3 linked regions of the Lonchura striata genome follow. The main gene of each other region encodes a partner of the protein of the gene in region 2 in a complex. Links are inferred from orthologs where the notes say so. Each region holds a gene or a part of one and is shown on either strand. Other genes may lie near its edges. The genes, in order: SGSM1, RAB9A and NDE1.

The links.
Region 1: the proteins of RAB9A (region 2) and SGSM1 are in contact, whole or in part, in a crystal structure (PDB 4QXA), measured with the Mus musculus proteins. The link is inferred for Lonchura striata from reciprocal best matches to the Homo sapiens genes RAB9A and SGSM1. Residues at the interface, in NP_062747.1 of Mus musculus: Phe37, Thr39, Ile40, Gly41, Val42, Glu43, Phe44, Leu45, Trp61, Arg68, Phe69, Leu72, Phe76; in NP_766306.2 of Mus musculus: Leu256, Leu257, Tyr258, Gly259, Lys260, Asn261, Asn262, Tyr277, Asn294, Met297, Asn298, Gln361.
Region 3: the proteins of RAB9A (region 2) and NDE1 are in contact, whole or in part, in a crystal structure (PDB 7E1T), measured with the Homo sapiens proteins. The link is inferred for Lonchura striata from reciprocal best matches to the Homo sapiens genes RAB9A and NDE1. Residues at the interface, in NP_001182257.1 of Homo sapiens: Ile40, Val42, Phe44, Asn46, Gln59, Trp61, Arg68, Phe69, Ser71, Leu72, Pro75, Phe76; in NP_001137451.1 of Homo sapiens: Asp99, Gln102, Thr103, Ala105, Ile106, Gln109, Leu110, Tyr113.

The regions. Positions count from the first base shown.
Region 1 is NC_134620.1:10,992,542-10,999,800, forward strand, and holds the start of SGSM1 (small G protein signaling modulator 1), read right to left. Parts: upstream 3,059-7,259; 5' UTR 3,008-3,058; coding exon 2,989-3,007; intron 2,894-2,988; coding exon 2,850-2,893; intron 1-2,849. UniProt on the Homo sapiens protein: Interacts with numerous Rab family members, functioning as Rab effector for some, and as GTPase activator for others. Promotes GTP hydrolysis by RAB34 and RAB36.
Region 2 is NC_134604.1:99,181,908-99,189,579, forward strand, and holds the start of RAB9A (ras-related protein Rab-9A), read left to right. Parts: upstream 1-4,655; 5' UTR 4,656-4,666; coding exon of another isoform or gene 4,667-4,721; intron 4,722-4,751; exon of another isoform or gene 4,752-4,983; intron 4,984-7,672. Other genes in the region: TCEANC (transcription elongation factor A N-terminal and central domain-containing protein), read left to right, coding at 4,667-4,721. UniProt on the Homo sapiens protein: The small GTPases Rab are key regulators of intracellular membrane trafficking, from the formation of transport vesicles to their fusion with membranes.
Region 3 is NC_134618.1:9,076,550-9,084,044, forward strand, and holds the start of NDE1 (nuclear distribution protein nudE homolog 1), read left to right. Parts: upstream 1-4,453; 5' UTR 4,454-4,743; intron 4,744-4,778; exon of another isoform or gene 4,779-4,803; intron 4,804-7,495. UniProt on the Homo sapiens protein: Required for centrosome duplication and formation and function of the mitotic spindle. Essential for the development of the cerebral cortex.

The sequences.
Region 1 (7,259 bases), on a different chromosome or scaffold from region 2:
CAAAGCAGGGGCTTCTCTGAAAGGGTGGGAGGAAGAGACTGACTGCTGTTCCCATGACACATGATGGAGGAATTAGTCAACAGCTACACAGTGACAACCGTTCCAGCTACTGAAAAATAAACAATATATCTGGCAGAAGACAAGCAGGCTGTGGTCAACCCCAATATTTGAAAGAATTCGAAGAACAAGCAGCAAAATGTTCAATCCAGGTTCAACAGTTACTGATGAGTAAAGACTCAGAGCTGCTTCCTGAGTGGTGAGTTAAACATAAACTAAGTTTTTGCAGAAGAAAGACCAAGATGAGTGTTTGCTCTCACACAGCACTCAGCTGACATTCCAGGGACACGTGTGCAGGTGGGATTGCACAGGTAACACCTGCTTCCCTTCCTCTGTGCCATGCAGCTGCCTGGAGGGAGCTGAAAACAGACCTCAGCACTTTCCTCCGTGCAAAACAAAACTTGTAAAAGAAGGAGAAAATTTCTAATTACAAGAGGAATATTTCTAGTTGAAAACTCACATCCCTCCAAACTTGAGTATTGCTGGGTTAGTAAAAAAAGCCTCGTTTCATCTGATAAAAGCTCTAAAAAATCAGAGAATGTTGGTCATGCTGCTTATCCTGCATAACAGGACACAGGGTGCCTGACAAAGTCAGACTTCACCCCTTCCCTTGCAGCCTGCTGACAAACAGTCAGTTTTGCAGCTTCCAGGGTTGGTTTGATTTATTGTGGCCATATGGGGGTGGGGGGGAGGAAGAAGATGGTGACAGACAACACAGCTCATCTCAACCTGCACATCCACTGCAGCACAGGACTTCTCCAGAACCCAACGCCTTAACCATGGCAACAGCCAAATACTGAGGGCTGCTCCGTGCCCTGGCTAATTCCAGTTTATTGTTTCTGTCCCTGCTCAGATCAGCCCTTCTTCCCAGTGTTTGTCTTCTCAGTTATGGCCCTGGGGTGACAGACGTGGCACAGCTCCCCAAGGACAGCCCTGCCTGTCCCTGTCCTCAGCTGGGCTCACCTGCACTGAGGGCTGGAGCAAAACCAGGCGTGGCCTCGTGAAGTGAGAATAATACAGCTTTGGGAAAGGTTAAAATTCTGGGAGTGGGGGAAAAAAACACACCGAATTTCTGCAACTGGCCCTTTCTACTGCTCCTTGGAGTCTGCACAAGCTCCTGACTTAACCTGAGGTTGGCCTAGAAGAGGAATAAAAACCAAAAGCATGAGCAGAGAGCAACAGGCACAAGAATGCCCCACCTGCTCCTGGTTTCAGGGATGGTGCTGAATAATTGACTCCATAACCTACAGGATGATGTTTCCCCAGGTTTTTCACTCCTACCAGAGCAAAGCCCAGGTGGAGAGCACAAATCCTGCATGGAACTCCCCCACCCACAGCCCCCATCGCTGGACCCAGCCCCTGTCCAAGCTCAGCACTTCCAGCAGGAGTGGAAGGGCAAGTGGAAGGCAAATCCCAATGGAATGGCAACCACCTGGTACCTGCAGGGAGCCCACATCCACACCAACACCCCGAGCAATGGGATCACCAGGAAAAAGCCTCTGCTCTGTGTCAGCACCAAGGGGCTGCTGAGAGAGAGCCAGGAGTGTGTCAAACTCACACTCACAGCACCGTGGTGGCACTTCACAGGGCAGGAGAGCTTTCCCCACACAGTCCTCCCTCCCTCAGGCTTTACCCACATTCACCAAACCCACATTATCTGCCCCAAACCCACATTATCTCCCCCAAAGCCAGCAGAAGGGCAGGAACCAGCCCCAGCTCTGCTCCTGGAGGTACCAGCTCCACTTTCCCCCAGCCCCTAGGAGCCAGCAAAGCCAGGCACTGAAGGGCAGCACAGGAGAGGCTCTGGGGGATGCCAGGAGCAGCCCTGGCTCCCACCCTGCAGCAGCTGTGTCTGCACTCAGGAGCTGCCACAGACAGCAATAATGAGATGGCAGCTCTATCCACAACGCTAAATAAATGTCATGCCCTTTTCCTGGTTTAATAGCCGTTGCTGAGGCAACCGGGAGTATCCCTTAGCACCACACCCGGCACAGGATTAAAGGTGGGAAGTGGTCTGGGTGGGCAGCGCTGTCACCCTCCCCAGACCCACCACCCACGGGTCTGCTTCTCCCGGCTCCAAGCAGCGTCTTCCACTCCCCGGGAGCCTGCAAACCGGAGAGCGAGATGCTCGTAACACCAGAAACAAAACACCACACACCTCTCCCCCCACGTCCCTCCGGCATTCCGGGAGGTGACCTGCGGGGACAGAGCGTGGGCAGGACACGACAACATCTGCCGCTGACCCAGCGCTCCGGCACCGGGCGGGACACACGGGATAAACACGGAGCTCCAGGCAGCTCAGCATGAAACAACGCACAAACTAACAGAGTTAAAGATGCCTGAGAAGGGGGAGCACGGCGAGATGCGGAACGCCATCACCCTGCACCGGGCACACACATTTGGGGCTCCCCGTCCGCAGCATCCGCCGCCCCCCCGCCCTGCCAAGGAGCGCCGTGCTGCGGGAGGGCTCGTCCCATCCCCGCTCCCGAGGGAGGGATGCAGCACCGGGAGTCGCCCCTTTTTCCTGCGGAAAATCCCAAGTCGCGGCGTGCTCTGCCCCCAGCCAAAGGCGATTTTCCGAGGATGCCGGGCACTGGCGCTGCAGGGATGCTTCTCCGCCCCCCGGGACCCGCAACCGCGCCAGGGTGGGTGGGCTCTCGGCCGCACTCCGGGCTGGTTGTTGGGGGGCTCTGAACCCCAAAAGCAGCAGCAGAGCCAGCGGATGCCGCGGGCGGGCCCGGAGCTCCCCGCGGGCACCGGGCCGGGGCTGCTCCCGGGGGTCCCGCACCCACCTCCTTCTTGACGGTGCGCAGCAGCCGCTGCCGGGTCTCCGCCTCTGCGGGGAGAAACGAGCAGAAGAGACGCGTTAGTGCGGCCCTGCCCCGCCACCCCCGCTGCCGGTGCCCCGGTCGCGCTCCCCGCCCGCCGTACCCGCCGGGGCCGCCGCCATGGCCGCGCTCGCTCCGCAGCGCCCGCAGACTGCCGGGCACCGGGCCGGGCCCGCCGGGCCGCGCCGCCCCCGCCCCGCCGGGGAGGGGCCGCCGCCGCCGCCAATCCGCGACCGGCACCGGCTCCCCGGTACTCGCCGCTCCGGCACCCCCGGTACCGGCATCCGCGCCACTCCCGGCATCCGCAGTCACCGGCACCGCCGGCTCGCCCCGTACCCCCGGCACCGACGGTGGCCCCGGCAGCGCCCCGAGGGGCGAACGGCTCCGTGCCGGTGCTCTCGCCCGGGTGTCAGCCGGGACCGGTGCCATGGTGCGGTCACACCCGGCTCGCAGCTCCCGGTGTCGCCATCACCCCCCCCCCCCGCCAGGAGCTGAGTCCCGTTATCCCGGCCAGGCTCCCGCACCCCCGGCCCGGCCCCGAGGTGCCCGGGACGGCGGCGGCGGGGCTGGGTGACACGGGGCGGGGAGAGCCCTGGGGGTGTCCCCGCACCTGGGGACGGCTGGGGCAGTGGACAGAGGTTCGGAGCTCGGCGGGTTCCTCGCAGGGGTGAAACAACCGCGTCCTTTCAGGCGTGAGCCATGCGGGCCCGCTCCGGTGAGCTCCGGCACAGCGGGAAGGTGACAACGACCAGAGACCCCCAACGCCTCCTCCCCAAATCACACCGGCACAGCCCCTCGGAGGGCGCCCTGCCTGCAGCTCCGTTGCCATCTCTTCTGTTTTCCTCTTCCCTGGTTTACTGTTCCAGGACATTTCCATAGAAACAGCATCCTGCCTCCTCCGCAGTCCAGTTTCCAATAACTACGAACCGCGGCAGCGCCGGGGCAGCGGCCGCCGCCACGGCCCCGCTGCCACCGGGCTCGGTCCCGGTCCGGACGGCTGGGACACCCCCGCAGCCCCCCGGCCTGCCCCCGGAGCTGGGCTGCATCCTCTGCCTCGGAGCTTTTCCTGCCGTGCCTCAGTGTCCCCAGTGACAGCAGGGACCAGCATCCCAATGGATGGGTCCCTCCACTGCCCAGGCTGGCAGGAGAGCAGGAGGGAGCTCCGGCCTCGGGGCTGACCCCAATCTGGTCCCTTCTGTACCTTCCAGGGCCAGGAGGAAGTCTGGCCCATACCCATATTTCCATGTACTCTGTTTGTTTTTCGCTGTTTGTTTGCTTTTTAAATACCCGTTTAGCACAAATGTAACTCAAGGGAATGAGAGTTCTGGACCAGATGGGTCCAGAATCTCTGGGAGAAAATCGTCCGAAAGAAGCACAGGGACAAGCTCCCCCCAAGCCTTGCTTGTTCCTTTTCCTTGGAAAAGCCAGGTGGGAGACGACTGGCCCCTATTTTCTGGAGCTTGGAGAGCTTAAATGAGAGCACGTTGATCTATACTTAATGTGATTAAGTTACATCTCTGAGTATCATGCTAATTAAATTAAACTTCCCACTGCTGCCTCTGAGGCTTAAACAGGATAGTTGTTTTAAGACCACAATTCACTCCCCTGCACTTTCCTGCATGGATGAGCAGGTGGGATAAAAGCATTCTGCTGATCAAGCCATCATGGTGTTTAGAAACAACTTCTAAAGCAAGGGATATTCAAATTTAAATCTGATTTGAGTTGGATTGAAACTCTGCATTTTCAGTCTGAAGTGATTTGTGCTTTGAATAAGGAAAATAACAGGGAAAAAGCAGAAGTAAGTGGCTGAGGCAGTGCACAGAAGCAGGATATTGGGAAGAATTCCTCCCTGTGAGTGCTGAGGGTGCCCAGAGAGGCTGTGGCTGCCCCTGGATCCCTGGAAATGTCCAAACCAGGTTGGATGGGGCTTGGAGCAACCCAGGACAGTGGAAGGTGTCCCTGCCATGGCAGGGGGTGGCACTGGCTGATCTTTCAGGACCCTTCCAACCCAAACCATTCCATGATGTGCCCAAGACACCTCTCCCCCTGCCTTCCTCCCATCTCCAGCAGCTCTTTCCACCTTGCAGCTTCTAAAAGCACGCGGAGATCTCAAAGCTCTGCCGTGATGGATCTGACAGCGCGGCCCTGCCCCGCTGCCGGGAGCACCGGGAGCATTCACGGCTCATTCCCCAGCGAGCCCGGCGGCTCTGCCCGGGATGGAGCTACCGAACCGACGGCTCTGCTCAGCCCTGGGCATCCGCCGTGCCCGCTCCGTGCCGGAGCGCAGCGAGCTCCCAGCCAGCAGCGTGAGCATCCCCGCGCTGCAAACCCCGCACGGCTCCGGCCGGCAGGGCTGTGCGAATAGCTCCGGCCATGGATGTTCCTGCAGGACCAGCTCTGCCCCCCCGGGCGTGATTTGACAGCCCGGTGTGAGGGAAACAAGAGATTCTTCAACGGAGAAAGGAGCTCAACTTGAAAGGGATGCTAGAGTTTGAACAGCCGCTACTTCACGCTGGGAAATGGGTCCCTGTCCAGTGCTCGAGGGATGCTGGGGGCTGTCCCTGCTTCCCGCAGACCCCACAGATCCCCGAGACCCCTGGCCGTGCCTGAGCCCATCTGCTGAGCCCTCCTGAGCAGGGGCAGGACGTGGGCACAGAGGGGTCTCCCACTTGTCCCAGCAAACCACCCCACGTAACCCACACCTGAAGAAAAGAAGGGCCAGCAGAGAAAGAGCTGTTCTTTATTCTCTAGTCTCTATTATCTGTTCTCTAGTCTCTGTTATCTATCCTCTACTCTCTATTCCCTATTCTCTAGTCTCTATTATCTGTTCTCTAGTCTCTGTTATCTATGCTCTACTGTCTATTCTGTATTCTCTATGATCTATTATTTTTCACAGTTGTTGGGGCACCAGCTGCCTCAGTTCTGTTATTTACTCCTGGAGGTGATCTTTGATCAAGGGGTTAAACCCCGCTCCACAAGCAGCAGGAATTCCTCCCCTTCATCCCAAAACCGGGACAAGGGCAGCTCCACTGGCAGCCCCCACAGCCTCGGCTCTCATCTCCACTCCCCCGCTGAAGGGTTGGGATGCACGGCTCTGGAAAGTGCCAGGAGGGAAACAAATCCCCTATAAACCACAGGAGATTAACTCTCCCTCACCTGTGTGCCGGGGCGAGCCACACCAGGTTTAGGAGCAGGGGGTGATGGAGGGGCTGTGCCAGGACCCCCCAATCTCTGCTCGCTCCTCCCCAGCCCTGAGCCCCCCCAGCCAACCCCTTTTTGGGGAACATCCTTGTGGTTCCACGTAGCCCCACCAGCAGAAAACTGCTGTATTTCACAGGAGAGGTGTCCAGAGAACAATTATTTCATCTTAAAGCCACAATAATTTCAGGTCCCACAGTGGAGAGGGAGAGGGTGGAGTTCAATCCACCCTGTGGAGGGACTGACAGGACCGGACCCACTCTTAGGCTTTTCCAAGCGAAACAATTCCATGATTCTGTGATTCCATTCTATGATAGCCAAAGCAGCCAGGGCCAGACATAAACAAAACAAACCAAAAGAATATATAAATGTGCTTTTAACTGGAGGTTTCTAACTGTTCCCCGTGTGTGTGCCTGAGGGATTAACAGTGTCCAGAGGCTTCCCGTGCCGGGCAGCTGCGTCACGTCGTCACAGCAACCCGCTCACCATGGCCCTGCAGCCGCAGCTCCCTCCTGTAGATTCTTTTAATTAAAGATGGGAAAGGCTGTGAAAGACAGGGCTGGAGGCCCTCAGAGCCCCGGGAGAACCCGGTGAGCCCAGGTCTGTGCAAGCCCTGCACAGACACCTTCCACTGCAATGAATTTTGCTGTGAAACTGCCACAGGGCAGAGTGGTGGCTTTGGGGATGCTGCCATCCCCTCCTGGTCACAGCTCAGCTGTGAAAGTTATTTCACTTTTGTGTGGCTTTTCCCCAGCAATTCACACCCCAGAGAGACCTGTCGAGCCCAGATGGATGAGATGACCTTTAAAGGTCCCTTCCATTCCAAACCACTCCATGATTCCTGAAGCATCAGTGTCACCTCCTTAGCAAAACACACCAGGGAGAGAGAAATAAGGATTTGTCAGGAGGAAGGAGGAAACACTGTCCCATTTTACCACCTCAGCCCCAAAAACTGAGCCAGAATCCCCTCCCCTAGGTGGGACCCACGGGGTGATGTTTATTCACACAAGGTGAGGTTGGTCCCTATGAGATGATGCTGGTCCCTGCAGGGTCAGGTCCCTGTGGGATGATTCTGGTCCCTGTGGGATGATGCTGGTCCCTGCAGGGTCAGGTCCCTGTGGGATGATGCTGGTCCCTGTGGGATGATGCTGGTCCCTGCAGGGTCAGGTCCCTGTG
Region 2 (7,672 bases):
TTTGTAGGCTGGCTTAAGTATATGCACTATTGAAAATGCATGTGAAGGTGTAAATAGCAAGATAATAATGTTTGCCTTTATGGTTCAAGAGAGTTAAATTGAAAGGTGGCTGCAAAGAATCTTGTGATACTGAGTGACTGTGCAAGCAAAAGGAATATGAAAATTAACTGCAGGTCACCACAAGTAATGGAATAAGAAAAAATAATCAATTCTCTTTACATGGATATAGTCAGTGGCTCTAAATTAGCTAATACCTCTAAGAAAAAATGATCTGAGAATGGCTGCATTTTCTTTTGGAAACTCACTTGCACTGAAAAAGATCCAATATATTTTTCTCATATTTCCTGTACTGGCATTGCAGTCCACCAAGATGTGTAGTGGTGGAACACAGGATCACTTTGTAGTTGATCTACTTGCTGGTTCCTTCAGAAGTAACTATTTCAAGAGCACTGTGTGTATATAAACAACCCCAGGCCTGCCACAACAAATTCATATTTGACTCATTAACACCAGACTGGTTCACTGCCTGTGCATAGCAGAAAAGGGGACACAGAGAGAGCTGCTTATCTCAATTTCCCTCAAATGAAGTGTTCTTCAGTGCTTAACTAAGCAAATTACTCAGATGGCTTCATAACACTCCGCTGACTCTGGCAGAATTTCTTCATAATCTTCCTGGCAATTCAATTTCAGGTCTTCCAGGTGGTATATTCCCTCCCATGTACTGGAACTCATGCCAGGAGGAAGAGACAGGAAACACATGGGATATATCTCTCATCAACACTACCTGGTTAACTTTATGTGCATCATCCTCATAATCCTAAATTCAGCACACTCCAGTGTTACAGAAAATGCACAGGAATCTCAAGACGTGGAAATAAATAGCATGGGCTGCCATATCAGGAGAGCTGAGCAGCATTACTGCCAAGCTCATCCACTGCTCAGTGCTGGAGGCTTTATCTTGTCACACAGAAGCAGCATCAGTTCAACACCAGCCTAAGGAAATCCAGGGCCTCATCCACCTCCTTCTCAGAACTGGATCAGAGCCTGAAAATGTGAAAGTGACTCTTGAAAAGAACAGCCACCCAAGAAGTCACTCTTTGCATGTATCAACAAATTTCAAATGCTGCGATTGAAAGTGTTCTCACAAAATGAAATCTGTCATAAAATACGGCCCAATTCGTGGATTTTCAGAGTCTAGGAATATGACATTTATATAGGATTCCCTTCTGCATATCATTAAGGATAGAGGGAGATGACTGTTCAAAACACTTTGTGTGGAGTTGCGTTATTTGTATGTTTTATTATCCCTGTATTATGTATTGGTTTATTCCTTTGTGGGGCGGGAGCACGGCAACTTTGGCCTCGATTTAATTTCATTTAATTATAATGCTTTGCTTCATGGTTCATATTATGTTTTTTGGGTTTTTTTTTCCTCTCTTGCTAGTAGAAGGCAGGGAGCCTTTTTAAAAAGAGAATCACATTTCCACATTTTGTCTTTTTCCTGGGAACTCTAAAATCAATACAAATCCAGACTTATGGACAAGATAACCTTTAAACAAAAAAAAAATTAAACTGAAGAAAGCTTTTCAGGAAGAATTACAGTGGTGGAGTACAAAATTAATGTCATAAATCCTATTATGCCATTAAGATAGGACACAATTTTAAAAATAAAGTAAAAATATATTAAAAATTATGAATAAATTATATCCATGTACTTGGTTTTGTTGGTTTTTCTTTAAAAGTAACAATTTTAAAAAAATCAAACAAATTACAGAGGCGTATTTGAAGCATATACTATTCTCTACAGAAACCTTATGATGGACCAATATTTTTCCAAATAGTTCTCTGGATACTCAATATTTTACCAGCTGCCAGAATATCTCCATCTTTTGAATAGAAGCCTATGTTTCTAGAAATGCAGATGCTTATCACAGCCAATACTGAAGTTTCAAGGAAGTTATCACTGGTACACTGATATTATCCTGGAAAACCATACAGAGACAAAGACATACACATATATCATTACACATGTATACATATATGTATGAATTTACTGAGTGTATAATTTTAATATTTTTTTAATTTGCTTTACTTCAAAGGTATTATTGTATCTGTTCTATAAATGGGAAACTGGAATAATGATGAATAATTTTATTCATTGGATCAAAGACAATTTAATGGAGATGCCCAAACTGTCCTCTGAGTGAGGAACCAGTCTCCAGGAGAGGCACCCTCAATTTTGATCCCATCTCAAAGGAGGGCTAATCACAAGGAAAAAGCCATGTTCTCTTTTTGCTTTCCTGCCAAGGGAGCTCTGTGACTTTGTGGTAGGCACTTTCAGCTGAGGACATAAGGAATTCGGTATGTACTGTTCTCATAATCACACAGGTACAGAAAGACTAAAGAAAACTGGCATTTAAAGCCTTGGAGCCCCAAACTGAAATGAAACTGCAAACTCCTGGATGTTGCAAAGAGAGCTGCTGCTGAATTCCTGACATATGTAGGCTACAGAAATAATTCAAAATATGTAACACAGGCCCCTGCATGACATGCCACATTTGAACCTGGAAGGTTCTGATCCTGTTCTGCTAGTATGTTACTGTGTCATTTCTGGACAGTCATACTTCAAACTCTTGATCACTGGTTTCATAAAACTCTTTGGCATAGGTTTTGTTCCACTCTTTTTTTTTTTTTTTTTTTTTTTTTTTCCCGTGTGAGACACAAAGACGAGGCAAAAAGGAAGCCTGATTTCAACTGTGGCATTCAGCTACTCATTGCATCACATATTCAATCGCTGGTGAATTCATGAGTCTGGCACAAACACACTGTGAGTGACGAATTGAACAGCATTAGCAATCAGTGTATAATGCAACCATTTCAGCTCTTTCAAGGGAAGGTTTGAGATCACTCAGTGATGAGCACTGATAAACTGGTTCACTACAATAATTTATCTATTTTTTTTTACATCCTCTACAACAATGCAAGGCTTTTTTTCTCTGTGTGGTTAGTAATGGTGATGTTCATTATGTCAAAATAAGGAAAAAGAGGTCTGCATTACATGATATTCTTGCCAAAACATATTTGGTGCCTTCAGGTAGGTAAAATCAGATTACTGACAGCAGAGGGCAACACAGACCTCATTAGTGAATAAAACCAAAAACATGTATTAAAAAATCATACAAACATTTTACTGTATTGGAGTATAAACCCCAGCATCATTTATAGATTTACTGTAGAGCCAAAATTCTGGAAGTAGCAATCTCTTAAAAAATAATTTTGAACACCTATGTGAAATACATGAAATAGGAAGTACATGGGAAAGAGGAAAGCATTATAACAAAGGCAATGACAAATACCTTTGACTAAACTGCATTTACTTTTAGACGTTTACTGCATAATCAGACATGTCCAGCAGACTTCATCATATCAAAAAGCTGTAACCTTACGAGACTTTATATTTTTTTTTAACTCTGTGTATACCAATAGCTCCATTTAGCTGATTATACCAAAAGCAACACAGTACTATATTGAAAACAGGAAGTTTTACAACTTTTTTGTTGTTGTTCTCCGTTAGCCTTTATCTTGTGTGTCACACTGCCTTCCCTAGCCATGTTTGCCGGAGAAGGACCATATAATGACTGAAAGTTTCAAATCACATGAATGTCATTTATTTTTCATTCATTTTAGGGCTGAGAGAAGCATGGTGGGGCTCGCAGACCAATACCACAAGAAGGTCATGCCCTGCCACAGGGCAGCATCATGGTGTCCCTTTCGCCCCACAGCCAGATCCAAGTACCAGATCCAAGCCCAAAACAGCCGGCAGCCTCAGTGGAAAGAAACTGTGCCCGCACACCTGAGGCTGCTTGGGACAGCGAGTTATTTCCAGGGCTGCCGCCCGCTCGGGAGCGTTCTCACCCTGCGGCAGCCACGGGCACAGCACAGGAGCCCACAGGGAATACACCTGCCACGGTCATCCCACGGCAGATTCACGGGATCAGTTAGCTTGGAAAAGAGATCAGTGCTGATCAGCTTGCTCCGAGATCAGCGAGTCCAGCCCCTGACACAACACCGCCCTGTCAGCCAGACCACGGCACTGAGCACCACGTCCAGACGTCCTTAAACACCTCCAGGGACAGTGACTCTGCCACCTGCTTGGGCAGTCCATTACAGCATCTAATCATTCCTTCTGTGAAGGAATTCTTCCTAATGTCCAATCTAAACCTCTCCTGGCACAGCCTGACGCTATGTCCTCTCATCCTGCCACTAGCTGCGTGGGAGAAGAGGCCGACCCACAGCTGGCTACAGCCTTATGTCAGGTGGTTGTAGGCAGTGATAAGGTCACCCCTAAGCCTCCTTTTCTCTCGGCTAAACAACCTCCGCTCCCTCGGCCGCTTCTCCTAGGACATCTGCTCCCAGCCCTTCTCTGGACACGCTCCAGCACCTCAGTGTCCTCCCTGCAGAGAGGCGCCCACAAGTGGGCACAGTACTCGAGGCGGCCTTAGCGGTGCCGAGCACAGGGAAAGAATCGCTTCCCTAATCCTGCTGGCCACGCCATTCCTGGTACAACGAGACGTGGTTTCTGTTTCCTGAGACACGCGGAGCCGCCCCACGCCCGGTGTCCGCCCGCGCCCCGGCGGCGGCGGGAGCGGCGCGCAGCCGCGGGGAGATGGCGGCGGAGCGGGGAGCGGGCGGGCGGCGCCATGGCGGGCCGCGCGGCGGAGGTGAGGGCGCCGGGGCGCGGCGTGCGGGAGCGGCGCGGCGTGCTTCGCCGGGGGCAGCGGGAGTGCGGCTTCTCCGCCTCACTAGCGTCCGGGGAGCCGCCGCCCTTGCCTTGGCGCTGGCGGTGAGGTCGGGGGAAAGTCTCAGAGGCACAAGCCGCCGGCTGCTCCGCAGCCCTGGTTTGCCCTTCAGCGCCGTGCCAGCCCCGGCTGGCCCTGGGGACCGAGGGGAACGGGGAGCAGCGCCCAGAGAAGCGGGGCTTTGGTAGGTAGGGCTGAGCTTGCTTTTCCTCCTGGCCCGGCTGTGCGGGACAGTATTTCGCCCCTGAGCAGGACAGCAGTGGGTCAGAATTAAGCTAGACGGGTCCGGGGATGTGTAGTAGGAACGGATATGAGGAGCCAGAGGAGGTTTAAGTTGGAAATAATTAGAAAGAATTTGTTCACCACGGCGATTAGGTGCTGGAATGGGCTGCCCAGGGAGGTGGTGGAGTCACCGCTCCTGCAGGCGTTTGAGGACGTGGCACTCAGTGTCATGGTCTGGTTGACAGGTGATGTTCAATCACAGGTTGGACTCCATGATCTCAGATCTTTTCCAGCCTAATTAATTCTACGATCTTGTGAAATTTTAATTAAGAATCTGGAGAAAACCCCACAGAGTTAGCATGTCCCTGGCATTCTGGGTCACAGAGTGTGTGGGCACGCCGGTGTCGTGGGAATCGAGCACAGGCAGATTTGCAGGCTGATCTCCCCCAAGCTTCATGGCCTGGTGACCGAGATGAACACTCCAGTAGCGATTCTCAGCCGCTGGTGGCATGAGCCTGACCCCAGATCTCAGCCAGACAAGCTGTCACCTGTGGCTGGCTTCGACGCCAAGCGAATGTGAGCTGCTTCCAAATGCACACGACTGGGCTGCTGCTCCCAGCTGCCGTAACTTCTGTAATTCCACTCACAGAAGAGGCTGACCTCGGAAGCTACAGGATGGATATCTGTAATGGTGCTATTATGGGAATTCTTTATGTATTTTTTATATTGGTCTCCATGCAGCATTGATGTCTTGAAATAAGATATATGTTGGTATAAATATAGAAAGGAGCTAGAGTCCATGCTTTTAAATGTAGTATTGTTTTAATAGTTAAATAGATAAAAATCCATTTCATTTAAAGTGTATTTCAACCTTTGCTTAAACCAGTGCATCATGGGTCTTTGATCAAGGCTCTAAAGTATTAAGAAATTTTGTACTTTCACTTTTAAGTGTTCATATTTTAGCATAAGAAATGTCAGCAGACACTAATAATATTTTACAAGTACCATTTGTTTAAATCATACTCTTTATCCATTCAGAATGGATGGCCTTTTCAGGAGCATATGCACTCTCCTGCACACAAAGGATTTATTTTTAAAGGAAAAAAGTTTTATAATTTTTCAGTGGAAAACCTGTAAAACAACAACAGTGATACTTAATCTAAATATGGCCCTGGCAATGGAATGACAAATAGAAATTGTGTAGAGCCAAGACTTAACTAAAAAAAAGAATGTTAAAGCAATGAAAATACAGTGTTTATCTGACAAATGATGACAAGCTTGCAGAAGTTCATAAAGCATGTCTTTATTACTTACGTGTTCCATTTTTATATTAATTTGTCAGTACAGTTTTTCATAAAAAGACATCGGAAACTTAGCATTTACCTTTACTTGTAGTGGGCTAGAATTTAATTCCTTGGTAGCTGTGTATGATTAAGAATAATCTTTAAAGCTATTTTGTCAAGGAAATGTGTTCAAAAGAAAGCATTGCTTATTTCTCTCCAAAATGATTCATATTTTCATTCTGAAGTATTAAGTTAACAAATGTACTTTAGATGGATATGTCTTAAGTACATTTTTACTTACTGATTTAGGCTTCTGTTTTCAAGACAGTCTGTTTTGTTGGACTTCTATGCCAATGCAGAGCTCAGTGAAAGCAGGAAATGTGATCCACTCCAGGAAAGCTTTGTTTAGATTGAGGTTGTCCAGGTTTCAAATAGGTACATCTGCAAGAGGATATAAACAATATTTGTGCAGACTGAAAAACAGATGGAGACGTAAGAAAATTTGATGAGATCTTTCACTTAAAAGCCAGTGTTATACCTGCAGCTCACAACATGTTCTTCTTTTCTGTAGGTTTAAAAAGTTCTAATTCTTCTTGGATAAATGAAAAAAAAATTAAGATAAAATTACAAAATAGTGGAGGAAAGCTGTAAAACCAAGAATGAGCATGGATGGTAACATCTTTGTAGGTAAACAGGGAAAGAATTTTCAGTCTTTTGTCGTTTTGTAGTAGACAATTGTTTTATACATAATTTTGTAGTTATAATAGAACATGTAAAAGTCTGGTTTTTTTTCAAGTACTGGCTGCTGGAGACATGTTTTGCATAATACTGTAACCTTTCCTTTTTAAAAAAGGTGCAAATTCCCTATCATTCTGTCTGAGGTGGAAAGATGGGAAGACAGTTCCCATTTTTTTACTTCTAAGAGCATCATAGTGTATAAACCAATCTCAATGTACCAGGAATTTTGAATTACAATTTCCCAGTCTTTGGGGGACAATGTTATGAATGCTTCTTGTGCACAGAGATTGAGTAGAGGGAGCAGAGGGATGCAATCCCAGTGGTGTTGAAACACCAATAAGACATAAAATTAACTGAAACTGTTACCTGTATAAGGCAATACAGTTAAAGGATGTTGAAAAAAATGGTTTCTACTTGGAGATATCACAGCCTTCTTGAATTATTTTGACTGGTTTGCTGTCTGAAGTGATTGGAAATATGAATATGAACATTTGCATCCATCCAGATGAACAGTTAGGAGACTGAACTATATTGCATAAAAGTAGTTATTTAATAAATGATTACACAAACCCACTTAGAACATGTTTCTATTGCCAGGAATGTTTCTTGAGTGAGGGAGAATGTTTACAA
Region 3 (7,495 bases), on a different chromosome or scaffold from region 2:
AGATCCGGGTGAACACGCACAGACCCGGGTGAAACACACACAGACCCGGGTGAACACGCACAGACCCGGGTGAAACACGCACAGACCCGGGTATAACACACACAGACCCGGGTGAACACGCACAGACCCGGGTATAACACGCACAGACCCGGGTGAACACGCACAGACCCGGGTGAACACGCACAGACCCGGGTATAACACACACAGACCCGGGTATAACACACACAGACTCCCGGCGCAGAAGCCGTGAGTGCCCGCGCAGAGGGGCCCGCAGGGAGGGCTCGGAGCAGGGCCCGGGCTCTGCTCCCCGGGCCAGCAATGGCACAGCAGGAACGGGCAGGAATTGATGCCCAGGAAGCTCCACCTGAACACGAGGAAGATCTTCTTCCCTGGGAGTGCCCGAGCCCTGGGACACATTGTCCAGAGAGGCTGGGGAGTCTCCCTCGCTGCAGATATTCCAGAGCCAGGGAGGTGGGACCAGCTGCCTTCCTGTAGTCCCTTCCAAGCAGAGCCATTCACGGGTCTGTGACAGCGGGGTGTTGGAGCAGTGGAGGAATGCAGTCCCCAGGAACAGAACACCACAAATCCTTATTTCCTTGACAACTAATTGTTCAAATACATTCAAGCAGAAACTAATAGAGTATATGGTTAAATAAGAGCTTGATAGGATGAAATATAACCTCAAATTAAGTTACTATAATGCTAAAAATAAGTCCTTAAGACAAAAATGACTTAGCAAAAACCGAAACATCAGTGTGCTATTGGTACCATTCACATTCTGAACCCAAAACACAGCACTGTACCAGCAACTGAGAAGAAATTAACCCTATCCCAGCTGACCAATCCCCTGTTTCTGAATCATTCTTTTGTTGTTGCCATTTTCTATAAAAGACTTTGCTGGTTTCCTCAAAGGTGCAGCACCTGTGTTAAATGCCTGACACCCTGTTCTGCAGAATGGTAACAAAACCAAGTGTCTTGCCTCAAAACCGAGTGTTGCTTGGCTCTTGCACAGTGGATGAAAGAACAATAAGATAACAAACGGTGTCTCCAGGAAATCCTTCAGAGTGGCCTGGCCACCCAGCAGGTACTTGAACAGGTGTGGTCACGGCTCAGACATGTGGCAGGTAATAAGGGAATTACCAGGGTGCTGAATTGGGCTCTTGTAAGTAACAATTCTGAACACCTTGCACAGATTTCAAAGTTTCACATAAAACTTAATTCACACACACAAAAAAATCTGGGTAGCTTTGTCAGGGACATGCCCTTTAAAATATTTTTAGAAGCCTGTTCCCTTGATGGCAGTTTATAGTCCCAAGCCCAAGGACAGCAGTTAAATGTCACTCCAGTTCAGAAACCTTCTGTTTGCTTATTTTAACAGACATGTCTGTCTCTGTGCTTTCTCTGGGTGCCTTGGGCATCATCAGCTATTCCCCAAGTCAGATGTACACAGCTTGAAAATACAAATCAATGACTGGCCAACAAAAAAAGAACAACCTTCTAAGAACCCACTGGATTAGGCATTAGTGTGTTCCCACCCCTTGACAAAACACCTGAAGTCTGCTGGCCGAAGAAGCATCAAGAAATCTGTGGGCATCCACTCAGGGGTCATTGGTCTGTTGATGTGGTGGCACTGGCAACTCGCTGGAGGTCACTGGGGTTTACTCTCTTTAGGATTCTATCACTTTGCAAAGTGGCATTTTTCCTCTTGCATCGTTGTGTTGCTAGTAGTGCTTGCCTCAACAACCTGTCCTCCATTTCTAGTTTTCCTGTTCTTGTCTTTCTACAGACAAGGCTCTGGCTCACAGTTTAACAGCTCTCTCAGAAGGCTGGGCCAAAGTCATGCAGCCAGTCCACGTCACCCAGGCTGGGCTTGCTCCTCAGCTGGTGGCTGAGCCCCTCAAGGAGGGAGGTTAGTGACACCACAGGGTGGGATCTGCTTTTTGGTGCCTCAGTACCTTTTGATCATAATTGTGGTATTAGGCTAAGCTGGAATTTACTTGCACTTTGGCCTAAGAGACTGCAGCCGGCAGCAAGGAGAAGCCCTGGTGGCAAAGCTCAGAGCCACAGCCAAGATTGCCAGGGTCACTGGGGGTGTCACTGCTGTGTGCCAAGGCTGAGAGAGCTGCTGTATTCTGCTCTGCTTAATAAACCAGTGCTGTTAATGAGCATTTGACAGTTTCATCAAAAATGTGTCAGTTCGAGATATCAGAAGGTTTTTAAAGCAGAGAGAATCTGCTTCTTGCTTAAGCATGTGCAAATCTGATTCTGCATATACAGACTGCACAAAATTATATAACATCTTTAGAGACAGAAAAAAGGTTTTCTTGATGTTAAATACCTGCTCTTCAGTGATAGCAATATTTCCATATGATATTCTAAAACGTCTGTCACATTCATGGGTGTCGGTAATTCATTTGAAAAAAAATAAAAAAGCAGTTCAATAGTTGGTAATGACAACTGGTGAGCAGGTCCTGTTCCATCCATAGAGTGGGTGGTGTGGTGAGTTATTTAATTCTCTAAGAAAGGCAAGTATTTTTTCCCAACAGAAGGTAATTGAGAAATGATAAGGTGTTACAACCTTACCAGAACTTACAGTGGATACATTTTTGTCCACTTAGTTTTTGTGGAAGAATCAGTGAGGCCTTCTTATTAAAATAACCAGCACATGAATCTTAGCACCACAAAGATCTGCCAGTTATTAATTATTAATCAGCAAACTAAAAATAAATGCATAAAATAATTTCTCCTCCTTTGCTAATTTTGAAAAAGACAAGTATTCTCGTTCTTCTTGCAAACAAGGCAATCACAGTGATTACAGTAACCTTTTTTAAGAATATTTATTGCTTGTGTACAGTAGTGCCTCTGGTAGTGCCTCTGAGCCCCTGGCATTTGTTAGGGTGCTGTTTCACTGTTTCAGAATTGGACGAGAGGGTCTCAGCTTCCTCTGAAGTCTGAGAAATTTTGCTGTGTTTTACAAGTATTTCATACTATCCTCAAAAATTTGCTGAAAGTGTTGAAGTAAAATGTCCTTTGTCCCAAACTTGTGAACAATGTATAATTTGTTTTAATTACTGGCAACATGCTACAATAGTATGTGGTTTATTTTCTGCAACTTATCTGATAATAGAAACATTCTTTGGTAATGACAGAACTGCAAATGCTATTAACCCAATTTTTAAAATGCCTTATGTAGTTTTCTCTTCATAGTTTTATGATAGTTCGTCTCCATTTACTTCTGCTGAACATCTGACCTAAAAATATAGTTATTTTGCTGAATGCCTGACAAGAAAGTAGAATAGGTTTTGTCACCCTTTTCTGTTAAAGTTATCTGAGTTATGGACAGATTCCTTGTAGTGCAATATTTATGGAAAAGCATCCACGCTTGGTTACAGTCCCAGCCTTACACAGCCTTTGGGGGAGGCGGATTTCCAGTTTAGGCGAGTCTCTTCAGACCAGACCGTGCTCCAGGCCCGGTGTTACAGCGGAGGGAAACAAAGCTGGGGCCGGGCTGCTGCTCGTGGGTGCCATCAGCGGCGCTGATGGGGGTGAGGTGGCACTCGGTGACACCCGGTGACACCCGGTGACACACGGCCCTGCCTCCGCGGCCGCAGTGATACACGTGTGATAATTTGTGTTTTTGTTTTGGCTCCGGAAACCATCGCCAGGCAGCACTAATCAGCGAGTCTGTGTGCACAGTCGGTAGGAGCACACCCGGGGCAGCCTGGGGAAGTCTCTGCAGGGCTCGGGCCCCTTCCCATGGATGGATCCTGCCTGCGGGGCGCGGCGGGGAATTCACGGGAGCCCTGCGGAGGCCGCTCCTTTTCTGCAATGGTGACATCATGCTGGGATGGGGATGAGTGGAAGTGTCTAATATTTCATAGACTGCGACACAGAAACCTGTCCTTGCTGGGGAAAAGGGCACTTTGGTCTAAAGATGTTGGGCTGGCGTTAAAAATAGACACCGGCGCTCTCTCGCTGCTTGCTTTGGCAGCAGAGGTCTTTTGAATTCAGAAAAAAAAAAAATAATGTAAAGCTTTTCCTCTTTTAGATAATTTTAAGGTCAACCACGCCTTTAAAATTACAGCGCGTGCTGGTTTACACGCTTAGCATCTCCGAAGATGCGGAGCCTTGTGCGTGTGACTGTAGGTCGTTGAAAATGGATTTGGGGGGAGGGGGGAGATGGTTTTGCAAGGCTGACGAGGGCCGGGAACATGCCTGGGAACAGGACCGAGAGCGGGAATAGCCCTATGACTGGGAATGGGAACGGGAACGGGAACAGGAACGAGCCCGGAACCGGCCGCGGCCGCCACCCCCGGCGGCTTTTGAAAGTCACCAAAGTTTCCGAAGCGCGTTTCGGCGGCGCTGATTGGCCGAGCGCCCCGCCGCACGTGACCGGCAGCCAATGGGGCGGCGGCGCCGGCCGGGCCAGGAGCGGCCGTGCGGGCGCGGCGGGAGCGCGGTGAGAGCCCGGCACGGCCCGGGACACCGGGGCACCGGCACACCGGGACACCGGCACACCGGCACACCGGGACACCGGCACCGGAGCGGGGACACGGGACCAGGACACGGGACCCTGCCCGGCAGCCGCCCCGCGCGGACCTGAACCTGCTTCTGGAGTTGCTCGTGCGGGGCCGGTGGGGCGGGGAGCGGAGCGGGCCCCCGCCCGGCTTCGCGCCCCGCAGGGGATGGAGCGCGGCGCGCTGCCTCGCTGACTCCGGGCTCGCAGCCGCTGCAACCACCAAGGTCAGGCCCTTCAGCGCAGAACAGTGCGGAGTTCCCTCAGGAGGCGCTGGGAAGTTGGAAGTATGGGAGCTGGGCTGGTTACGGGGAGGAGGAGGGTTTTGCTGAATTCAGCCTTTTGCTAGAGAAGCCCCGGAGAAGCCGATGGCTCTTTTCAGTGCTGGCTGTGGGATTCTGTAGTAATCCTGCTGCTCCCGTGACCTCTCCCTTTTCTTTCTCTTTTGTGGTGATTTTCTTTTGTATGGCTTAAACAAAAGAAAACAGGCCCATGTGTTACAGAACGACCCTTTCAAGGGGAATATTTTAAGCAAATCTGAATTTCATAGGATGGGAAAGCTGCTTTTCGGGAGCAAAGAGCTGGTTTATTTTGGTTTACATTTAGGAAAATAATGTCTAATAGGAAATTTATAATCTCTGTCATGGATAAGTCAGTAGTATTTCTGGTACTGTTTCACTTTTTTATTACAATGTGAATTTCTTTGACTTAGACATTGCTACAAAGGTAGGTCAACACTGTTCACTGAGCATGTTCTTTTGTGAAGAAAAAAGTTCAGTATCAGGGTCGTTTTGAGTCCTTTGTTCTAGGACTGAAACAATGTAGGTTGGGGCCCTCATGAGTTCGGGTGAATTCAAACTGATTCCCAAACTGAAGTTCCTTCAATAATTTTGTGTGTTGTTTTTCTTGATACTTGCTTTTTTTCCTGTGGAATTTCGCAATTCTGCTCTCACTGGTATGAAATTGTTTTCCGCAACACTCATGCTGCCGTGTTTTATTGCAAAATTCCAGTCCCCACCCATGATCGCTTCCTTCCTGCATGCTGTGGAGTTTGCGATGCCTGTGAGCAGCGCTTGTGCTGCCTGCCCAGCTGTCCCTCCCGGCTTCGTGTGCGCTGGAACAAGCAAGGTGCAGCCAGCGTGTGCCTGCTACAGACTCTGGCTTTCCCTCCTCGTTTTCCCCACCTTTTCCAGTGTTTAAAAATAAATTTCTAAAATCTCCTTTACCCCCCCTTTGCTCTCCCTGCTTTTGTAGTGAGCCCAGACAATGAGGAGTTCCTGATTAATTTCTCTTCTGGCATTTTGCATGTTGTCTTGAAGTTGTTAAAAATCAAAGGTAGAAGGCAGCAGGGGAAAACCAGTCACAGCCCTGCCTTTTCTACAGGGAGTTTAACAAGACTTACGTGGTTTTTATTTGCACTCTTCTTAGACAAATGTCAGAAAAAAAGTTTAAAAAAGCTTTTATACTTTGTCTCAAACTTGGAATTTTTCTTTAAAGTTTAAGTTTGTATTTTTTTGTCTTTGGTTAGTTTGAAAATCTGAGCTAAGATGTGGTGGAGGGAAGGAAAGTAACAGGTCTTCCTTGAATGTTACAGCAAAAAACATGCCTTTGGCACAGGACAGTTGCCACATCTCTGGAATAAGTACAGGTCCACTGTCCTTCCATGTATTTGCAGTTGAACAATTAATTTTAAATTATAAATACTATTTAGTAATGGTGGCCATGAATGAGAGTGAGCCCTTAATGGATGACATCCTCACTGGGCTCATACTATAATCTCATGTTCACAAAGACATCCCTGGCACTGAAGGGTGCAGCCCCTTTGTGCTGCTGTGAATATTCACAGGGTTCTCTGAAAGCCTTATGGATTGTATGGGTCAGTTAAAGAAAGTTCTTCTCTGTGCACCTCTACAATCTCAAAAAATTCTAATTACTATAGTCTTTTAGTTCTTCCAAAGTGTAATATAAAAACACAGAAGCCAGATCTGAGCATATTAAAGATTTTGAAGTTGATTGAAGCTGTCTTTTGGTTCCAAAGGGTTGTTTGAAAGCTTTTCAGAGCAAGCTGTCTTGCAGTTTATCTTCCCTGAATTATTTTTGTTGACTGTCCAAACACAGATATTTGATTTCTTATAATGCTTGTGTCAGAAAAAAATCATTTTTGGTTTTTTTTTTCTCCACAAGTGTGCTGCAAGGATCAGTATGTGTGTGCACAGTGCTTTGAGCAGAAGGACATGCTTATTAACATCAAAGGCACTTTCAGTTCACTTAAAAGTAACAGAGGAGATGTGACATAAACTATCCTAGGTCAAGAATGTTAATTATGCTTGGTCATGATTTTCTTTTTAATGGGCAAGAGTACTATTTGGGAAATCACTTTTTACTCACACTCCTTTTCCTCTTTTTTTGTCCAGTGCATTCTTCGGCCTTGAAACCTTATGCTGGAAGTGTGTCAATACATTACACAGTCCTTTTATTTGTTTGAAAGAACACATGTGGCCTTGGCTAATGAACACATTGTGTCAAACTCAGTTATAAAACTAAGGCTTAGTGACTTTTCTCCTCGGCTGCCAACTCCCCTTTTAAATAACATGTAATTTCTGTGAGTGTGTAGCTGATACTGTGCACTGAGGTATGCAGGCACAGCCCCACTCAGCTGTGATGCTGCTTACTCCTTGCTCAATAATCTGATAATTACTTGGGCTGTGAAGAGGAGTTGGGCTTTGTGGCATTGCTTGGGTATGTAAGAATTGGGCTTTTAGACTGCCAGACTGCTTCAAGTACTTTTGTCCATAGTAGAGTTAAGAACTACTTGGGTTTGTCTCGGTACAGTTACTAAGTAGGTGGCTGTTACTCAATCTTATTTATACCAGATAATTTTTTGGAAAGCAAAGTCTTGACACAGGTTAAAGATATTTTCTTCCATAGAGTTCAATAGATGTGCAGTGTATGCACATTTTCTTTACCTAAGACATCTGC